2 linked regions of the Styela clava genome follow. The protein of the gene in region 1 interacts with the protein of each later gene in a biochemical or structural test. Links are inferred from orthologs where the notes say so. Each region holds a gene or a part of one and is shown on either strand. Other genes may lie near its edges.

Region 1 (10,817 bases):
ACACGCTTCCTATGGAAAATTTATGCTATAAAGAGGAAATACGCCCTAAATGGGTTGGCGGAAAACCATCTGCAACGCCCGCTGCGAGAATCTAGTTTCCCAAGAACGGACTTTGGAGAAAACGTTTTCGAGTCTAATTGCAGTATCTCTATTGTTAACTTTCAAATGACGTCGCATGCTGTCCTAAACTGAATACTGATTACCTCACGAAAAACATATTTTCTCCGCACAATTTTAAAGCTAAATTTTTTTCACAGAATAGTTTTATTTTCAAAATATAAACTGCAAAACTCACAAAAATACATCAACCTTTATTTCTTTGTTTGCGAAATGGTTATATCGAGCGAAAGTATATTCACGCAGTTTCTTCGAGGACTATTTTCTCCTGGGAGAATATTTTCTCGTAAGTTGATCATTCCCGGCAAGACAAGTTCTTTCTGTCAGTTCCTTTTTAGTAGTTTGTCGACAGAAACGACAATACAATACAACAACAATATAGCACAACCATTGAGATAAAAACCTGGTTTGTTTTCAGGCAGGGGATAACTTGTCCCATATTTCTTCCTTTCCGTATTGGTCGACAACTTCGTTCAATCGCGCGATTTTTTATTTCCAAATTATCGACCCAAAATGTGGTCTCGCCATATTTTCAATTATTTATTATCAGTGCAACGTCTCAATGCCTTGACCAAAGTATGGTTTTTATTGAAGCTACTGTCGAACTTTCTAAACAAAGACAGTTATATTTTCGAATTACAATGTTTCAAGTAAAAAATTATCAAAATCAATAAAAAGCTCAAATCTGGTGATTTATATCCACTTTTACAGATTTTTCATGTATTTCACGTCAGATAGGACCCAACAACTTTCCAAATTATACACAAACACCACGCGCAACCCGATAAAGGGGTTTGGAAAGTTAATATCATTTATTAAATATAATTATACCTTAAAGTAGCAGTATACCAAAATAATTCATATTCCTAACAAAAGTTGTTTCCTCGGTCGATTACGACAGGGTTTCTCGAAATTTCATTAACTGCCTTCATGCAATTTAGTACGCGAACGTAAATCTCGAACCAAAAACAACCTCCACAATCCATCACAGACCACGCTTGGGAAAGGTGTAGCTTCACTGATATTATTAAGTAAAATAAGAGCGATCCAATAAGCAACATAATTTCGTAAAAAACTCTCGATAGATGAAATGCGTCCCCGCTCCGACATGAATGCCTAAATCAAAGTTTGAGGCGAATATAGATCAGCTAATGTTATTTGTTCATGCTACCCTCTAACTCTTTCTTCTGTCGAAGCTCGCAAATGTAAAAGGGGAGACAACAAACTGAAATTGCTAATCGAAGAACAGGAAAAGGCATTATGCGTGCGTGCGTGTCCTTATCATTTATTTAGTAGGTGCAATAAGAGTCGAGAAACTACGACTCGATTTATTAAGGCTTCAATGCATGGTAGGAAAGACGCCTTGTCGGACCAGCCTGCACACAAATACCGAAAGTGAACATATTCTATAAGAATAACATAATCTCGTTACACGAAATAGCAAGCACATTTGTAAGCTTTCGTTAGATCATAGACTAACTTCTTCACACAAAACAAGATTATAATTTATAAGTTTATTGAACAGCGAATAATCATTCGCATACGGATCAGAAGTAGGAAGTAGACAAGGAGAAAGAACCTGCAGTTCAATAAACAATATCCTAATGCTTACCATAAACATATTCTGTAAAAAATTTCCGATAATAGAGCCTAGCAGACAAAAATTGATCAAGTGTTAGATTGGCAGTTACGTGTGCCGAATTAAAAACTACAAGTTTGTTTTAGAACGCAACTTTTTCCGGGAGGCCTCATATATAGAACAATTTGTCCGTGCCAGAGGCGTGCAACTTGCGGACCGCGGACTTGTTCATCTGACACGATGAACAACACACGTCATTGCTATATTTCGCTACGTCACACTGCGATGAAATTTCGTCTAGACAAACAGTAAAACGTCTTCCCGTTGCCGAGCACATCCGTTATTTCGTTGTCAATTCCAAGTGGTCTTTTTCGGTTTTTGCTTTAAATTTCTGTCATATATATCTAAAATTCCATATTCGGACGAGCTAGCCTCTTCAAATAACATTTACATAATGCAATATCTAACTTAGTCCTGAATACAGGGTTAATTTAAGTAACTACATAACTGTATACCAAGTAGAGCTAGTCATTACTGGAATACAGAGCGACAGAAAAGTTTAGCTTGGTAATTTAGTTCCCAAATGGAGTCAAATGTGTTTATAATCATGAAATTGTCTGAAAAGGTTATTTTTTATTATAAACTGGTATGGCTCTGTGGGCATACACTGACTAATTTTCATAGTGTTAGCTTTACATTGAGTTCATAATTTTCTGTTTAGATAACTTTTAGATAACTTTTCGAGGGAAATCTTCAAACGTTTTTCTGCGATTTGTCAGGTGTTGTTATAACGATGAAATAGAATCGGCACTTTGTTTGTTATCTGTGCGAGCGCGTTTTGCAAGGCTTCCACTTACCGTTATTTACGTATTCATTACCAGCTACGTCGAAAAATTGAGAATTACCGTAAAGCCGCAATTATTAATCAAACGCACTCACATTTAGAAATCCGTACCATAAAGGGTTTACTTCAGCCAAACACTCCGGTCCTGCACTTCGAGAACGGAATTGAAATCAAAATTTGATTGTGTCCTTTTATATGGATCGTGTTAGACACAATTTAGTATATTTCTTGAAAACTATTGATCAAATAAACGGAAAGTAATATTGAACATGGTGACGGTTCACGCGTCTGGCATAGATCCAACCAAGGTCAGATATTAAATAAGTTGTGTTCATAAATTGTCGCATGTTGAAAAACAAACTGATTTATTCGAAAGAAAAATAACTATCTCCCGTTTTTCCGCAAATATTTTTGATAATAATAGTTAGAAGAATCGACTTTTTTAGGGTATGATTTTCTGTTGCGCAAACAATCCAACGTGTGGCTGATACCACGATTTAAAATGCCTTGCCGTATTAATTCTGTTTAACGTAACTCACGGTTGCGTCGACTTACGATAAATATCTAAAGTTTAAATACCACGACAATCTGCGGACATAAAATGTGTGGTAAAGTACCACAGCAATGACATGAAACGTGTGGGAACCTGGCCTATAATTAATTTTTGATTCGTATTTTTGCGATCTTGCGGAGTCGTTATCGCCGTTAAAAATACCAAGATCCGCAAAAGAATCGCAAAGAATACTACCGGTATTTATTTTAGTAAAATATTAATTTGATTAAATAGGCTATACATTAGTTAGCTTATATTCTTATATTCATCATAATCGGGAAAAAAGTGGGATGTGGCACAACGGTAATTTAACAAAAGATAAGAAGGTAGATCGCGAGCACAATTCACTGTTTCAACTTCGATGACTATTAACTATATTTCAAAATTTTTCAACATATCATAATGTGTGGCGTAGACACATGAAATTATCGTTTTTATTTGTCAAGGTGCTACTATAACAAAAGTTATGGTGCTTTTCGTGTACTGATGATTTTAACTAATAGCAACAATCTATTAAAAATTGAACATATCTGGTGGTATTTTCCAATTTTCTTACAGAAATTTTAATGTGATGTCTTCTTTGTCAAAAATTCAACACTTGGTGAAATTCAAACACCCTCATTTCAGATTCATTTATGTATACTTGGTTCAAATCTTCTACTTGTCTTTAGGAATCTTTCACTTATATGTAGATTATGAATTAATAAGGTGTCATTTACGCAAATATTATTAAAACCCATAGCTCCCTACGATTTCTCACGCCCAATGATCAGAAAGCAATGAAAAGTGCTATCATAGAGAAATACATCCAAGCATACAACATCTATGACGATTTGAGTTTTCGATGAAGTGTACTGGAATTTCAAGGAGTAAGGTGACAGTTATTGGCAAATCCACTGAAACTTATATCTGCACAAAGCTACACACAGCTAAGCTATTTTATGAGTTGTTTAAGAATGTGAGTTTGTATATCTGAAACGAACTAGTTGCGGTAGTTATTTTTGCATATTTAGTAGGCTGGATTTGGGAAAGGTTTAATGATGTACAACTGTTTCAGAGGACGTTCCTCAAACTCTTGGAAAAGCTCCACCAAACCCTAGGCCCTAGGGGTACGATTGTACCCATATTAAGAAACATGATATATATATATAGGAAAGAAAAAACATCTAATGAAAATCTTAACTATTGCGTGTCATATTTATGTCATCTAGTGAAGCCATTGGGTGATGCCTTTTGAACATGGAAGCCCAAAAGAGCTTGATTTTAAAAAATAAATTGAATAACATTATCTGATAAAGATATGAAGTAGTGAATTAGGTGTTAAGGAAGCAGACATCTGATTGCAGTGTACTAATTATTACATATTACCGGTAATGTCAACATGTATGTCCTGACTCAATATTTTGTCATCTGTTGGAGAGCTATGGAAACTAATGTCGCAGTCAATTCGGCTACCGAACGTTTGCACTTTATCAAGATTTAGGTAGAAAAATGATTTTACAAAATTCGAACTAGTTTTTATCAAGTTCAGTTTTTCACATTTTTTAAATATTTTAAATATGTTATTGTAACGAAAGTAGAAAGGTTTCAATTTCACGCCTTGACCTTCGGTCTGATGTATAGCAAAAGAAGGCAAAACTATTGTACATTTATATTATAACAAAATCATTATTTCATATATTACCTGATCACCCCATTTCCAGTCCGGCCCACGAATAACACGGTATCCGACTTCGACCATGTTACCAGATATTGCACATTGAAGAAAGCTAGTTGATGAATTTATATTTGATGAGTCAAAAAATTTTTCTTCATTGAGAAATTTTGGAAAACAAGAAAAATCACAGCCCATATCACTAGTTGACTATGATATTCGCTAAAACAGCTTCATATGAAATATATATTATATATCCAGTAGATCTGAAACAACATATATAGACATATTTCAGTATTTTTTTTTATATAAGCTAATACTGTAATACCTGTATGTCTTCGCCCTTTTTTAGGGAAAATTAGAATTAGTTTTACCCTCAACAATTTAGTGATGGAATACCACCAGCAACATTTTTGCAAATGTATTTATTATGGCAGTATGGAGGTGCTAACTGCAAATCTCTTACTGCAGTACTGCTGTACTGTCTTACAGGATACAGATAAAGTTCAAATCAGAAAACTAGGCTATAAAATGCCACCTTCAAACAGGTCACAGAAAACTGTATTAACTCAGAATCGAGAAGTTTAAAAGTACCGGTACCGGTATGCTATGCTTTTCAAAAAGAAATATTTGGAACAGAAATCCTTGGATTTTTTGGAGAACTCAGTTTACAGTTTGAGGAATGTGATTAATAGTGTACAGTACCAGTATCGGTAGCTTATATGTGTATATTGGAATGCATTACGGCTTCCTCCACCATAAATTCCCTGCATCTGCAACAAATACGGTACCGTACCGGTAACTGGCTAACTAATCTCATACCGGTACCGGTACGGTAACCGAACAGCAGGACGAGACACCGTGGTTTGCCAAACGATTAAGGCATCTTATCGACTTTCCTTTCCCCGGTAGTCTATAATCATGTAAATGCTATCTATGTCGCTGCGTGTGATATTATACGGTACGGTACCGTACTGGTGTAAATTCAGAAATTGCTCAAGCACTTTTTTTTTTTTTTTTTTTTTTTTTTTTTTTTTATAATATATATTGAAAAATAACAAATAAAATAATATCAAAAAGAATTACCAACAGTACATTATTAATATGTTAAACATGTTTTTCATGGTTGTTCCAAGGAAGAATTCATCACCGTTCATTTTTTCCATAATTCCATTTTTTCATAATCATCATTTATAAGATTACAATTATTTTTAAGATAAAGCATGTAAATAAAAGTTTTTCCAATTATTATTTATCTAATAAGTACATACACTTGTATAGACATACATACACTTGTATAGACATTTGTATCAAATATATTCATTCCTTTTTTTTTTTTTTTTTTTATTTATAAAAACAGTCAATATTATCAATACTAGTCAATCTTAAAAATGTACTATCAAAAGCTATGACATTACCGACTTTTCTAACAAGTTTTCAATTCTTCCATCCTCCAAAAAGCTATTTTTCATATTTGATGCCATATTTTTCAGCATCCCTCTAATTTTACATTTAAAAATTATTCTCATAACTGATTGGAAATTATCCAAATCTTCAAATATTATTTGATTCCTGAATTCCCAAATAGCTGCCTTTCCACATGCAACTATCATAATAACTGACAGGTCACATGTATTTTGTGCAAGCACCATTGACAACATAAGCCAGCAAGGACTTTTTACGCAGTTGAGGGTATTCCCCAAAAAGAAAACAACAGTGCGGAAAGAAACGTCAGTGCGGAAATGACAGGAGTCTGCATTTCTATATCGGAGTCCGGAGAGTATTCATTTAAAAACAAGGCCACTTAACAAGTATCAGATATTAAAAATAGTCATGATAATACAAATAAACAATATACTTAATCTCATATACCTATATGTCGTTCTGGGATTACGTCTTTTGTCATTATATTCATATTTTTTACTCTCATTCATTTGCATCTTTATCTAAAAGTTTTTTCAATCAATCAATCATTTTATTTCGGCTCTCTGACTAAAACGGAACAATACAAAAAAGTAAACAGACAACAAATACAGAAATACCTGATAGGCGAGCATAACTTAAAATAAAGTTAAAAAACGTACAAGTACGTGCCCACCCAACAAAAAAAAAAAAAACCTAGCCTATATCGCTTCACCTAGCCTATATCGCTGAAAAGACAAATAGGAAATTTGAATTAATCTAAGACCTTTTTTATTTTAAATTGAATTGCTTTTCGAGTTCTCCCGGAATATGATGAGTACCCGACGTTATATGATAAAACATTATTTGCGATTAATTTAGATCAAATTTTACTTTCCAAGACACCCGGTTTCCGAAAATACGAAGTTATAACGCAAAACAATGCGTTTTCTTACATTAATTTTGCGATCCCAATAAAATACATCTGCTGTATCTGTCGAGTGTCGGGCGGTATTTTAGACGGTATACGGAACAAGTGTGACAAAAGCATGACATCTATGAGAAGAGCAGGAAAAGTGTGAGAAAATAATGGCAAGTGTGTGGCAAACAGGACAAGCGTGATAACAAGAAGGACAAGTTTGATCCAAGCAGGACTAGTGTGGGGCAAGCAGAACTAGTGTGAGACAAGCACTACAAGTCCAGGATAATTAGGACAATTAATTGTAATATAAGAGAAAAGTGTGGCACAAACAGGACAATTTTGAGGCAAACAGGACAGATGTCGGGAAGATAGGACCAATGTGATACGAGTGGGAAACAAGCCGGACAAGTGTGATATGAGCAGGAAAAGAGTGAGAAATTTACATGACAACCAAGAGAAATTTATGTCACTCAGGACAATCGCGGTAAAGGCAAGACAAGTGTGGACCAAAAGTCAAATCTGAGTAAAAAAAAAGTTGAGGGGAAAACAGGACACGTATGGGACAAGAGAGACAAATGTGAGAAAAGCAAGACGAATGTGATACAAGCTGGACAACTGTGAGAAAAGCAGAACAAGTGTGGGATGAACAGGTCGAGTGTGACACAAGCAGGACAACTGTAGAAAAATCAAGTCAAGTGTGTCACAAACACTATGAGTTGGATAAAATCATTACAAGGTATGGGACAAGTTGTGAGGAAAGCACGACATGTGTGATACACGCAGAACAAGTATATGGCAAGCAGCGCAAGTTTCAATTAGGACTATTTTAAGACAAGCAGGAAAAGTATGGGACACAAAGATTAACATTGATGCAAAAATGACAAGTGTGATACATGTGTGTGGGACAAGCAGAAAAGTGCAAAAATTGCAGGAGATGTGTGAGACAAGCAAGAAAGTATAAAAAAAGTGTGATACAAGCTGGGCAATTGTGACAAAAAGCACGACAAGTTTGTTCAAACAAGTTTGAGGTAAGCAGTGGGAGTGGGAGTCAGGAAATCGAGATACAAGCATGGCAAGACTAGGACTGAATCAAGTATGGGAGAGGCGGGGGGAAATGGCACAAACAGGACAAATATGCGACAAGCAGGACAAGTGTGAGACGAGCAGCACAATTGTGGGATAAGCAGAACTTGCGAGAGACAACAAGGAACAATGTGTTACCACCAGGACAATTATGGGACATGCAAGACAAGTGTCATTTAAGAAGAATAAGTTTGAGACAAACAGGAAATGTGTGGAACAAAGAGAAAAATTGTGATACAAGGAGGACAATTTTGTGATATGCAGGAAGAGTGTGAGACAATTCGGACATGTGTTCTACATGCAGGATAAATGTATTACAAACAGCACACAAGAGTCGGACGGACAGGACAACTTTAGGAATAGCGAAACAGGTGTGGGACAAACAGAAAAATTGTTGGACAAGTAGGACAAATGTAATACAAACAATACAAGTGTGGAAAGAGCATCCCACGTGTTGAACAAGCACGGAAAGTGTGGGGCAATTACGAGAAGTATGGGACACGCAGGACAAGTGTGAGACAAGCAAGACAAGTGTGGCGCAAGTAGGACAAGTGTAAGATGAGCAGGGCAAGTGTAGGACAAGTAGGAAAAGTGTGGGACAAGTATTACCAAGCAGGCGGAATGTTAGTTAGACAAGTTTAATACAAGTAGGACTATTGTGAGATGAGCAGGACAAAAGTATTACAAACAGAAAAAATGACGAGGCAGCAGGACAAATTTGGGACAAGCAGGAAAGTGTGAGTCAGGCAAAGCTAGTGAAGGACAAGCGTGGGACAAGCAGTGCTAGTGAAAGACAAGCTGGATAAGTGTCAGACATGCAGTACAAGAGTGATTCGAGTATGGTAAATGTGGGATAATAAGGGTAATTGTGAGGCAAGAAAAGCAAGTTGGTTTCAACTAGGTCTAATTTGAGAGAGTAAAAAGTGCGGAAAACGGTACACCTGCGAGACAAGGAGGATAAGTGTGAAATAAGCAGAACAATTGTGAAACAAGCAGAAAAGTGTGGAACACGTATAGACAGATGTAAACAGATGTAACACAAGAAGGACTAGTGTGAGAAAAGTTGGACAAGTGTGGTACAAAAGGACAAGTGGCAGGCCAGTTGGAGCAGTGTGTATCAAACATTACAAGTGTGAGACAGTAGGACAAGTGTGAAACGAGCAGAAAAAGTGTGACAAATGCAGGACAAGTGTGAGACAACAGGGTCAAGAGTGGGACAAGTAGGAAAAGTGTTGGACAAGCAGAAAAGTTATTAGACAACCAGGATAAGTGTATTCTAAGCACGACAAATGTGAGATGAGCAAGGCAAGTGCTACACAAGCTTGAGAAACCTAATACGAAGAGGACAAGTTTGAGAAAAACAAGGCAAATATCAAACTAGCAGGACAAATTTGGGACAAGCAGGACAAGTATTAGACAAACAGGGTAAGTGTATTCCAAGCCGGGTAAGTGTGAAATTAGCAGGGCAAGTATTATACAAGCTGAATAGCCTACAAGGAGGACAAATGTGAGATGAGCAGAACAAATGTTAGAGAAGCAGGATAAAAATAATACGAACAGGAAAAGGGAAAAACGAGCAGACCAAATTTGGGACAAGCAAACAAGTGTGGGACCAGCTTGAAAAGTGTGAGACCGGTAAGGCCATTGAAGGACAAGCGTGAGACCGGCAGGTATAATAAAGGATAAACAGGATAATTGTCAGACATGCAGTTCACGAGTGATTCGAGTATGGCAAATGTGGGATAATCAGAGAAAATTTGAGGCAAGCAAGACAAGTTTGTTTCAACTAGAAGCATGACAAGTTTAATACACGGAGGACAAGTTTGACATGAACAAGAAAAATGTTAGGCAAGCATGACAAAAGTATAACATACATATAACAGCACAATTGTCGAACAAGCAAGACAAGAGTGAGGAAAAGCAAACAAGTGTGGCACAAGCAGGATAAGTATGAGACACGTGGGACTTGTAAAGAACAAGAACGATAAGTGTCATATATGTAAAACAAGAGTGATTCAAATATTATATATGCGTGAAACAAGAAGGACAAGTGTAAAAGAACTAAAGAAGCAGGAAAAGTGTGGAACAATCAGGAAAAGTTTGGGACAAGCAGGTCAAGGGTGGGACAAGTAGGAAAAGTGTTGGACTAGCAGAAAAATTATTAGACAACCATGATAAGTGTATTACACGCAGGACAAAGGGGAGATGAGCAGGGCAAAAGTATTACGAACAGGACCATTATCGATTGAGCAAGATAAATTTGGGACAAGCAAGACAAGTATTAGACAAGCAGTGCAAGTGTATCCCAAGTCAAAAAAATGTGAGATGAACAGAACAAGTGACAAAGGAGCAGGCAAATTTGGGACAAGAAAGTCAAATGTGGCACAAACAGGAAACGTGTTATACAAGCAGGGCAAGTGTTATTCAACCAAGACAAGTGTGAAATGAGCAAGGCAAATGACTGACAAGCAGCACAATTGTAACACAAGCGGAACTAGTGTGGAAAAATTTGACCAGGGTGGTAACGAACAGTATGAGTGTGAGACAAGCAGGAAAAGTGTTAGACAATCAGAACAAGTTAGGGACAGCTGGACAAGTGTTAGACAAGCAGGGCAATTGTTATCCAATCAGGACAAGTGTGAGGTAAGCAGGGCAAGTGTATTC
Region 2 (11,563 bases), on another chromosome or scaffold:
TTTCCATACTAATACGGTTGGTAATTCGTACTTCAAATACCATGAATAGCAACATACAGGTGGAGTAGCATAAAATCAATAATCTGAAAATCCAGATAATTACAAAGGTAACAAAATGGGACAGATGTGGTATTTCAATGACATGAAGTATGGCACACTTCATATACCACAAGGAGGTGGATTACAAGCTTTAAGCTTGTCTTTTGTAATGTCAAAACCACAATATAAAACTAACCTCACTCATATTTAATTCTTATTTATTGTGAGCTGAAAACAATTATTATAAAGTCATGAGATAGTCTTACCTTTGTTTCCCATATGTCCCATTAGTATTCCCTCTTCCTTCTGCATTGTAAAGTTCAATTCCAAAATGAATTCCCTCTTTGTCATGAATCTCTCCTTTGTATCTTATGATACCTGAAAGAAGTCACACACAATATTTACATACAGGTATTTCCAAACACTGGATTAATATATAATCAATATATAATAGATTAATATAAAAATAAAAAGCACCATCGAGGCATATTTTATTTCTGGATTTTTCTTGTCAGAATTACAAAATATTCAAAAACCTGTGGTGATATATTCGAATACTCATTTATTTAAATATTTCAAATCAGATAAATAACACAAACCATGATATTCTCCTGTGTGATTTGGTAATTTTACAAACACTTGTGTGTCAACATCCATTTCCAAACCCTCTGCTTGCCTCAGTGCATTGTTGGCAATTTCAAGTCGGTCTCTGCAGTTTGGTATTGCGAGAAGTAGATCGTAGACACTCTTAATAAAACCACAAAAACTTCAAACTGTGTTAAACCCAGTCTTGCACCACCCAAATATCAATAAAACCAAAATATCAAACCAAAATAATTTGATTTTCTAAGTAACAAACAAGCCACTGAAACTAATGTTTATGTAATGCCACTAATGTTTATGTAAATTGAATGCAAGAAATAATACATTGTGAAAATCCCACTTGTTTAAGTCAGTATTTCGCTCATGATGTATTTTGCATTAGGTTTTCATACCTCCGAAATTTCTTTCACATCTTTTTTGCTACATTGGAAATAAACTTCAGATTCAGGATTTCTACAAAGTATTTTATTTTTTTCCAAAACATCTTTAGTTGTTTCAACCTCCCTTAATAAAGTTCCTGAGATAATAGAAAATTATTAAATATTCTTTAAAACAATGGGAAGAATGCTACAAACTAGGGACATAAATTCTATATCCATTACAAGACAGATAAAATGTGACACAACTAATTTATATTCAAACAAGGCTCTTGATAAGCGGTCAGTCATATATAGCTAGTATATAATATAGAGTCAGAGTCAAAATGACCGATAGTTTACCAGCATATAAACCAACGAAAGAGCTAAAACGCACAATCAAAATAGGCTAATCAAATTGGTTTTACCTTTAAAATATTGCACTGTATTTGTTTTTTTCAACCTTGTAGTAACTCTTGATTGGTCAGCGTGAGTGATGTACCTATCACTCAATAAAATAAGGGGTTTACCAGCATCACCAGTTCCTCTACTGGGAACGACATAATATCCAAGTTCTGCCATATTTATCTAAAAAATATACGACAAAAACATACAAAAATATTAGACTGAATACATCCAAAGATCAGAAAAACTGAGCTTGTGAACTTTTCCAACTGAGTATATAACATGATATATAATGAAATTCATTAGCCACTGTACAATATAGGACATTTAATATTGATCTAGCATTGTATTATAGAATGCTGTTTCAGCAAAGTAAGTGTTTGTTAGAACAGATAGATTCATTCAAAGATTAGAAACGATACTCCTTGTCCTGCTTCAATTCATTATTTTTTAAATTTATCTACCACTTATTGAAAACCTGCGAACACACCAAAAATTGCTAAAACTGTGTATTGCTATTGCTATGTACTGTAAAAGATTTATTTCACAAATATTCAAAAATCAAACGGGTTTAAACTAAACATCTACAGTTTACCAAATGAATTAATTTTAAGATACAAATTCAAATATTTTAAAATATTAGTCAGCCACATAGTATATTAAACCCGATTACACAGCCTACAGAACTAGCATTTAAATAAATAAATCTCAATTAATGCTATAAAATATATATGATCGATATTACATCATCTAATGTAACATACAATTCACCCTGTCAAGTGATTCACCATATTTTCATGAAGGCCACATCCTCAAGATATCATTATACTGACAGACATATACAAGTCTATAATTGGACCTCTATGTAAGCTCAACAACCTAGAAAAATCCCCATAACACTGGAAGGGAATTTTTCTTGGGCTTTATTATATGTCACGATTTGAGAGAGAAAAGGAGAGAGAAAAAAAAAGAAAAAAGGCCTAGATGAATAGGTCAATGCACGCCAATGGTATATTATATTCATGCCTGGGCCTTTACAAGAAAACTCTCAAGGGAGGAACAAACTTATCAAATATGTTTCAAACAATTTAATACTTCAAACTGACTACAGAAAACCCCAAATGTATACAAGAGGTAAAATATATCACTGGAAAAGTCCCTTTGAAAATCATTCAGAATATCAAATCAACTGCTTTCTCATTTAGGTAACCATAAGTAGATATTTAGAATAAGATTTGAAGAATTTCTGTAGAATGAGAAGTATGTTCATTGGCTTGTTGTGTCGATATATGGGTTCAACATCAAAAAAGGGATTCAGTGGGGTAAGCATCGCCAGACTCTTTTGGGTGCTGGGGTTGTTAACATGAACTCTGCCATATACAGCCACCTTAAGAATCTTATGGAATGTTGAGTAAAGCGGCTGTATGATTAATACAGAATTACCCCATATTCTAGAATCTGTATGCAAGCTTTGTTTGCCACATTACGTTAGGATTAAATGTATGGTCAAAAACTTATAATCCTGTGAAATGTCAATGATTTCACAATAATTTTATAAATTTTGTTGAATCACCACCCCATGATAATTAGGCTATATAATAATTATATAATATGGTGATGAACAACATCAACATCCATATACTTTTTGTTTTCAATAATTATACATAAAAATATTTTTCAAAGTGTGAACCACAGTAGTTGTCTAGTTCTTGTTCGAGTTATCAGGAACCAGACTTGGAAGACAGGAATTGAATATTTATCAAAGGTTATTTCGATTTTCAGAGCAAAAGCACAAGAAAAAATTAAAACAAATAAATTTATACCTGGACAAAATCAATAAAGGTGTGCAGAATATAACAAAATTTTATTTAAGTATAGATGAATTTATTACCAAAAAAATACCTATGCCTGAAAACCCAGTGGCGCAGCCAGAGGGGTTTTCGTGTTCGAAACCCCCTTTTTTGAAATTTTTGAAAGAAAATGTTGCTAATAACATGTGCAGTTGCATTTTGTTGATATCACAAATAGCGACATGCTATTTGGGCCTTGAACACCTTCATTTCTGTATATATTATTATTATACCTAAATCCCAATTTCCGTCAACCGATGGTGATTACTTTTCTATTCTCGAATGGAGAATTGTGAAATAATTGTGAAAAACGAATTATTGTATAATATTCATCAGTGACAGGATGCTTATTAAGATAATAAAGTAAATCCACAAACCAGATTTTTTTAGATTAAAAAGTGGCATTGTAAAATACTAAAGATAATAAAACGGAGGAAAATTTTTATTTAGGAGGCTCACAACAACTTAAAAAAAAACGCTTTTTAAACATTGTTAATCGAAAAATTTGTCTATTATCTAATTATCACATTAGGTCATGTTGACTTTGAGTATGTTATACCAGTCAGGCAGTCACTGAAATCGAAACACATTCAATCGCTCGAACCATGTACCTTCTCATTCATTCTAAAACTACAGACGGGGCCTCACACAACTTTTCCCCGATATGTGATGATATATTACGAATTTACGGTAGATAAGTATATCAATCAAATTTTACTGTACTAAAATAAATTTCACTCTGGGATATTGTCGCAGATATAGAGGTTTTCTGATGGTAATTTCTCAACAAAGAATACGAGAGGAGTCACTGCGATAGAGAGGAGATAGTATTTCAAGAACGGCTTTGATTTATCAAATCTGTTTTACCGTTGATAAGAATCCAAACAAAATATAATCAGACACACTGCCACACATTTTTATGACACGATAATTTGGACTAGAAATGCTTTATATTTTTAGTCAGGGAACAACCGGTTACATGGAACACAATTCAATTATTAAATCAATACATTTTCAATTTGCCTATGAATATTTTGCGCAATTGAGATTTGTACTCTTTGACATCTTAACGCAGACATTGGGATTTTTCTAATGATGATATGCTAAAAATAATCTCATTGAGTTCTAGTCAGTGCTGAAAGAATACCTTAATTAAAGTTAACAAATCCCAAGATCGTAAAAATCCGAATCCAATCTATCCAGTATTTTATATCTGCAGATTGCAGTAGTATTACAGAGTAGTAGTGCTCTTATTTCGGCGCAAATGCAAGTTATGATGAACACATTAAATTAATATAGCGAGACATTTTAAATGGTCGCATCAGTCATGGATTGAATATGTTAGCAGCAGAAAAATCACAACACGCTGGAAAATCAGTTATTTTAAAGAGTAGCGTAATCGCAGCACCATTTCATATTATCACCAAAGCAAATCTTAGAGACCCCCTTCCCAAACCCAAATGCTAACCAATGTCCTGTCACACAATTAAATCATAAATGTAATTACGTGAATATCGGTCGGAGACCGAACACTTATCGATCGAAACTGCGGTTTCGATTCATGACTCTATAGTGACACCGCGTGTCCCATCACTAATTAATTAATAACTCGCTAATTATACGACATATTTCATCCAAAATCAATAGGCTTCTGATCCCAGGGATCGGTAAGTAATTAGCAAGTGCCTGGAAAAAATTAATCCAAGTTGAATATCCTTTCAACTAGCAGTAACTAAAGTTTTTCTTGAAGAAAAAACTTTAGACTTACCCTGTATTGAACTTCTAGCAAATCTAGTAAGGAGGGCTGAGGCAGTTTGCCCTTCAATACATAAGTCAAAAATGTAAGGTTCAATTTCATCTCGAGTCCATTTTGGTCTTGTCTGAAACAAGATGTCAAATCGGGCAGCAGCATCTTGAGGCAAAGTTTCAACAGAAAAATATTGAATAGTTGTTGGATTTGCTGTATTGTCTATTATAGCAAGTCCTTGAAGATATTTCTCATCTGATTTTAATCCATATGGAAGACTCTGGTCCCAAACCTCCAAGAATTCAGTTAGGTTGAATTTTCCGACATCTCGTAAAAGCATTTCTGCAAAAAATCGACAAACTTTCTCTTCCTTTAATTTAAAATACTTTTCACTATTATCATGCATAAAAATCATTGTTCCGTAGAATGCCATTAAATGATGAACTATGTACCCCGGTACTAGTTCACCAGAGTCATTGATTTTTTCGCAAAGCTGTGAAAAAGGAACTTTGAAAATATCCCACGATTCTGAATCGATGACATTGCAAATTGCACCAAGACAGTCAACAATATATCCAAAATCCAATAACCTCCAATATCCATCAATACAAATACATCCCATATTGAACAAGGCACTTGTAAGCTCCCCTTCACTTGCTTGAACAATGTTCAGTAGATCAGTTAAAGTATACTTCATTTTATCAACATTCTCTTCTTCCTTTTCTGGACCTTGGAATAGAGTTTCACCCAGAAGTTGCTTGATCTTGAACAGCTGTGGATGAATGCGTTTCAGTTCTAAGTAATCATGTGACCAGCCTATTATATTTCGATAAAGTAGAAATGGCTTGTCATCAATATTCTCCTGTTCTTCTTCACTTGTACTGCTGTCAGAAGCAACAGATGATTTCTTTTTCGCGGATACAGTGCACTTAGATAATGTGAGCAAAGTATTCGAGGTTCTTGCCTTTTTTAAATCATAAGTACAATCACTAGTACACAATGTGGCAGAATCATCCTCACCTCCACGAATGACAAGTGTTTCACCCTTTGTAATATGTTCAAGAATATCCTTATTTAATTGTATCAAAGTAAATGATTGATCCGAAGAGTCATTTGCAAAATAAAGTGTTTGTGAAGGTCTTGCCAAATCACTCTGATTGAGCTTCGATAATTTTAATGTCTCTATGACGTCGTCTTCGCTTCTGCAACAAGTATCTTGCATATTTTCTATTAATATTTCATAGAATAGACAACTGAATAACCTTCTGTAATACATAAACATTGTTAATATCAGACTAGGGCTAATAGCCGCATCACCACCAACGAGTTATTTCTTAAAATATTTCGCTCATTCATTCATTTCATAATGATCATAATATGTACAATGTGTTACAGTGTTAAGTCAAACAAACTCTTTTTCCATATGAAATTGATAACCTCCTATTCATCCAACCTGACCCCCTATGTTTTTATTTAGTCTATTTTAGCCTACCGTACTATTTAGTCTATTTTTTCTACCACAATTTCATTAACTACAGAATTGGGTATTGATTTTAGTAGTTTTTCAACCGGTTGTAAATAATTCGATGACCTCCAGACCTCAAAGTCACATCATTACTAGGGATGGGCCGAGATTCAGATCCGGACTCGGATTCGAGTCGAATTCACACATTTTTTGGACTCGGATTAGATTGAGTCCACGTCATTTTTACCGAGTCTATAATCAATTCTGTTTTTACTAATTCGCGCCTATGTTTGTACTTTTACCTCTATAAATCTCAGTACATACCCTAACTGGTTAATTAAAATTCGTTGTTAGATCTGTAACAATATTCCTCGTATGTAATATACCGGTAAACACTCTTAATAAAAACGACGACAGATATCCAGATAATATAACGCATGTTGAAAACTATTGATCGCTTATACCTTATAACAGGGATGGCGAACCACTGACCCGCGGGTCACAAATAGACCCACCGCGTTTTGTCGGTGACCTGCCAAGGCACGAATGAAATAAAAACATACTAACTTGTAAGTGATAAAAATTGATAAAACCGGCTTCAAACAAATTTAACAGTAAGTAAACTACATAATGTAACGTCAGTTGGGCAGTCCGACATGCGAACGCTCAAATTCAAATTTCCGGATCGGTGTGGTAATTTTCAGAACTCCCAATCTTGGATGCACATGTTCACCCTTGTATACGGTACCTTTAAGCAGCTATTGGCTGTGATATCGTTTATGACAAAACAATCAATTCGATCTGTTCATTTCTCGCAACGTCTCGTTACAGCAGTGGTTCTCAACCTGTGGTACGCGGGGGCTTTTCAAGTGGTACGCTTTGAATTATTGCAATAACCGACTTTTGAGGTGGCTAAAATATGGCAGACACACTTTCTATTTATCTTCCATTACTGAATGTATTCGCTGAATAGTTTATAGCGTTACCAGTCCTTCTCTTTAATGAGCGCTCTCGCCCGCTACTGCCCACCTAAAAAGAAACGAGACGGGCATATTTTCGACCGTTTTACGTGTTACGTCCACAATGCATCACCATTGAGAAATTGGCAACGAAGGGAGCATTCGGACTTCGGAGGGGTGCTCGACGCGTGTCGGAATACCCTGATAGCGCCTAGATACATCATAAATATGTTACTATTACTGACTGATGTATGTGTTGGCTGATCGGCATAATCTTGACTTTTGAGTCCAAATAATTTGAAGACTAGGTTAGGCAGTTCCGCATAGCGGCTAGAGCCGACCGAAGTGTATTTGTCCGAGTTTTGCGATAATTCAGTGGTGACGATGATTAGAGCCGACGATAAACGACGCAAATTCTCTTGTGATTTTGCACACAATTATTACGTTGTTACTGCATATAATTAATACGTTGAAACTGTGCACGAAGCTCTAAAAATGGATGTAGTGCCACATAAAATACTACCATAGAGCGTTTCTTGTGCCATTGTTCCCCGCCACAAAAGCGGTTTTGTCGGTGATATGCGGCCATGGTAAAAACACAAAAGTGGTACGCGGTCAATAAAAAGTTGAGAACCACTGTGTTACAGCGTTCATTCAGATGAACTGAAAAGGCACTGCAGACTGTTTAGTTTAGGGTATACGAAAACTAGATGCTACTTTGCATTCATCAGTTTCTCGCCTACAATGTCGTGGAGGAAACAAAATCTGTTAGACTCAAAATGAGGACCTAGAAATCTGAAACAACAATGGGGCAGTGTGAAAGTACCTTAATCTGGTTGAAAGCCAATCGAAAAATAGAACTCTATCAGAGTGGAATTCCCTCCAAACTCTTTGGCGCGCAAAATAATTTGCCGCATCATTCTAAACGTTTTTGGGTAATTCATAATATGCGTGTTTTTGTACACGAATTTCATAAAATCGAGTGTCATTAACAGTCCAGTAGTCTCTGGTTGAAGTGCTGCATAAATAAAGCCCGAAGCTACACAACACCAACCGAAGCTTATAAGATTTGAAAGATAGGATGCAGCAGCAAGTTCCTTATAGATAATAACATTGATTAACTTATTGTCACCCACACTCTTCTGTTCCGTGATAAAAATATAATTTTTGACCCATTCGTCGAAATAGCTTCGCCATCCCTGCCTAAGTTTACAGCTAGAAGTATCTGAAATTATGGGGAAGCATTGCAGTCAAAAAAATTTTATTTTTCATATTGACATGTAAGAATTGCTAAATAGCAGCCCAGAATTAACGGAAGGTGATGGGCTAGAAATCTAGTTCACAACCAAGGCGCATATTGACCCACGTTCACGTTTGTATTGTGGCCGCTAAAAAGGAGGAAAATATATTTCTAAAATGATTCAACAGCTATCTGCGGAACTATTAGGTAAAAAATACGAGCTACGACCAGTGGCGTAGCCAGCCCAAAATTTTGGGGGGGGCCAAATTTGAAAATTTTAGAAATTATATTGGGTTTAAAACACCCGTTCTTCAAGCGCAAAACAACAACAGTTGGTCAACAAGCAAACTGATTCAATTACTCAGCTGGATTTTTGTGAATACAAAATCCATTAATAAACGATTTTTTATTTGAAACAACAAATATTAACAACGCAATTTAAATAAGTAAAATACATCGCCCCGATTAAAAGTCCATCCTTCGCTTCCCGCTAACTATGCTCGACACAACTCGATTAATTTTCTCCTCGGTGACCATTTCACGGTGACAGTGAAGCACACACAAATCAGAAAGGCGATTGGACGTCATTGATGAGCGCAGCCATGTCTTTACCCGTTTCATGCAGGAGAAAGACCGCTCAGCCTCAACGGTGGTTGCTGGTAGCGTCATAACGATCTGTATTGCGGTGTACACGCTTGGATAATCTCGAGCGCTCAAAAGAAGCCCCTCCAAACATTCGTCGTTAACGTCGGAACTTAAAGAAGTTCTCCACAGTCTCACTTCATTCTGGAGGTTATCCAATAAATACAGATGCTCTACCTCATCCACGTGAACTGGTTTGTTCGGTGGAAGAATTGATAGCAATGAAAAAAATGACGGGTTGTCAATGAAGCGTTCCCGAATAGAGCAGCTCAAGCCGTCGACGTATGGGAGATATACGGAACGTTTAAAGTACTGGGATGCTGAATCAGCACAGACATTGTCGCGATACACTTGTACTTCGACTACTCTGGGTATTGTCAACTCTTTCAAGCCAGCTATTTCACAAGCTTCTTTGTAAATATTCAATGCGATTTCAGAGTCATTGCGTTCTTCAGCGATAACGCTCTGAAGAGAGGATGTGAGGTTCTTTACTGACGGCACACTGACTCCGATCGCCTGAAGTGCGCGCGCTAGTGGCTCCATTAGTGCCGAATATCGACCAATCAAACATACGGCGTAGATAACCGACGACTTTTCTAGAGCAGATTTCAGAGAAAAAGCCTTCGCCCGCGTCTCACCGTTAGCATCTCTCGCCAAAGAATCAAGAGCCTCAAGTACTCGTTTGAAGTTGCATTTGAAGATTCGGATGCTCTTGTACTTCTCAGACCATCTGGTGGGGCAGAACAAAGGGATGTTAATTCCTAAACCCGCGCGCCTTTTAGGGCTCTCCCTGAAAAAACGAATAGTCTCACGAATGATATCACAGGTGCTTCTGATGATTGCAACTTTACTTTGGTCATTTATGACCAAACTCAAACAATGAGAAGCGCAGTGCACAAATATTGCGCGCGGGTATTTATCACGAATGCGTTTTTGCACACCGCTGACGTGACCTGCCATTGTCGTTGCACCATCATAGCCTTGCCCCACAAGTTTTTGCAAATCCACTCCTATACCAGAGAGGTGGGTCAAAATATTTGAGGAAATTGATTCGGCAGAAACAGAATCCATTTCCACTAATCCTGTGAAGCGCTCGCACACTTCACCACCTTTCACATACCTCAAAACGATGCTTAGTTGTTCTTTCCCAGAAATATCACATGATTCGTCGGCTATTACGGACACAAACGATTTATTAGCCTCCATAACGATATCTTGCACTATCATGTTGCTTGCTACCTTGAGAATTTCATTTTGTATCATCGGGCTTGTATACTTAGCGTTTCCGGCCATTCGAGCGAAATGCCTTTTCAAATCTTCATCCCCTGCGTCGATACGAAATAGAAGAAGGTTCACAAAATTTCCACTATCCCCGGAATGTCCGCGCAAGGATATGTTACCCGAAGCACAGAACATGACAGTCTTGACAATGGAAGTCATTATTCGTCTGTTTTCTTTTGTTTGCGTAGCATATTGGGCCTCCATGTTTGCACGCACATTTTGACCAGTTTCCATGCTTTTGACAAAATTTTTCGCAGCTATATTTGATTCTCGGTGGTAATTTGTGTCTCGATGTGCTACAGCCTTTTCCATAAATTTTTTGTAGTCGATGCATGGTCTTGTAACAAAGGCAGTGTCCCTGAGAGTTCCATGCTTCAAACGTGCTTGCATGACTATGCATATCTTACACAAACCACCCCCATCAGAGTGTTGGGTGTAAACTAACCAACTGCAAAATCTGTTATCGTCAAGCCATTTTTTGAGAAATTTACGACGACTTTGTCTAACAGTATCCAGAATCGTCACGTTTTTCGGACCATCCGAAGTTAGAAGCCTGTATCTCTCCGCATCGGTAAGCTGTGTATGTTTCTTAAGAACAAATCCAAGATCGTTTGTTTTGCCTTCGTTGATTATTAGTTCATCTTCGGGAATAGAAGTGATAGACGTAACTGACGTAACCGGTGCATCCACAGCCTGAGAAGCGCTTATTGATGTATATGAGGAAAGCGAGTCTTCATTTCGCTGGAAAAAACTATCTAATTTCGCCTGTTTAAATTTAGCGATCGAAGTAATTTGGTCATCAAAATTCAAGCGTTTCGAATAAAAATCCGGCGAGAACAAATCAAGACCGAGCAACTGACCGAAAGCTTGCGAAACAGTCTTTCCCGTACTGCTCATAAGAGCGACCGGTCAAGTCTTTGTGACGTAACAATGACAATCAACAAGCGTGACGAGACAAGATGCCACAAAACTGGTG

What was found.
Region 2: of the proteins of E3 ubiquitin-protein ligase MIB2-like (region 1) and ubiquitin carboxyl-terminal hydrolase CYLD-like, one has a biochemical effect on the other in vitro, tested with the Homo sapiens proteins (2 studies listed by BioGRID, with this or other methods). The link is inferred for Styela clava from reciprocal best matches to the Homo sapiens genes MIB2 and CYLD.

What each region holds. Positions count from the first base shown.
Region 1 is NC_135256.1:23,186,128-23,196,944, reverse strand, and holds the start of E3 ubiquitin-protein ligase MIB2-like, read right to left. Parts: upstream 5,017-10,817; 5' UTR 4,946-5,016; coding exon 4,778-4,945; intron 746-4,777; exon of another isoform or gene 557-745; coding exon of another isoform or gene 521-556; intron 1-520. UniProt on the Homo sapiens protein: E3 ubiquitin-protein ligase that mediates ubiquitination of Delta receptors, which act as ligands of Notch proteins.
Region 2 is NC_135262.1:20,141,441-20,153,003, reverse strand, and holds the start of ubiquitin carboxyl-terminal hydrolase CYLD-like, read right to left. Parts: upstream 5,301-11,563; 5' UTR 5,166-5,300; coding exon 5,022-5,165; intron 1,587-5,021; coding exon 1,427-1,586; intron 1,160-1,426; coding exon 1,035-1,159; intron 787-1,034; coding exon 639-786; intron 418-638; coding exon 306-417; intron 1-305. UniProt on the Homo sapiens protein: Deubiquitinase that specifically cleaves 'Lys-63'- and linear 'Met-1'-linked polyubiquitin chains and is involved in NF-kappa-B activation and TNF-alpha-induced necroptosis.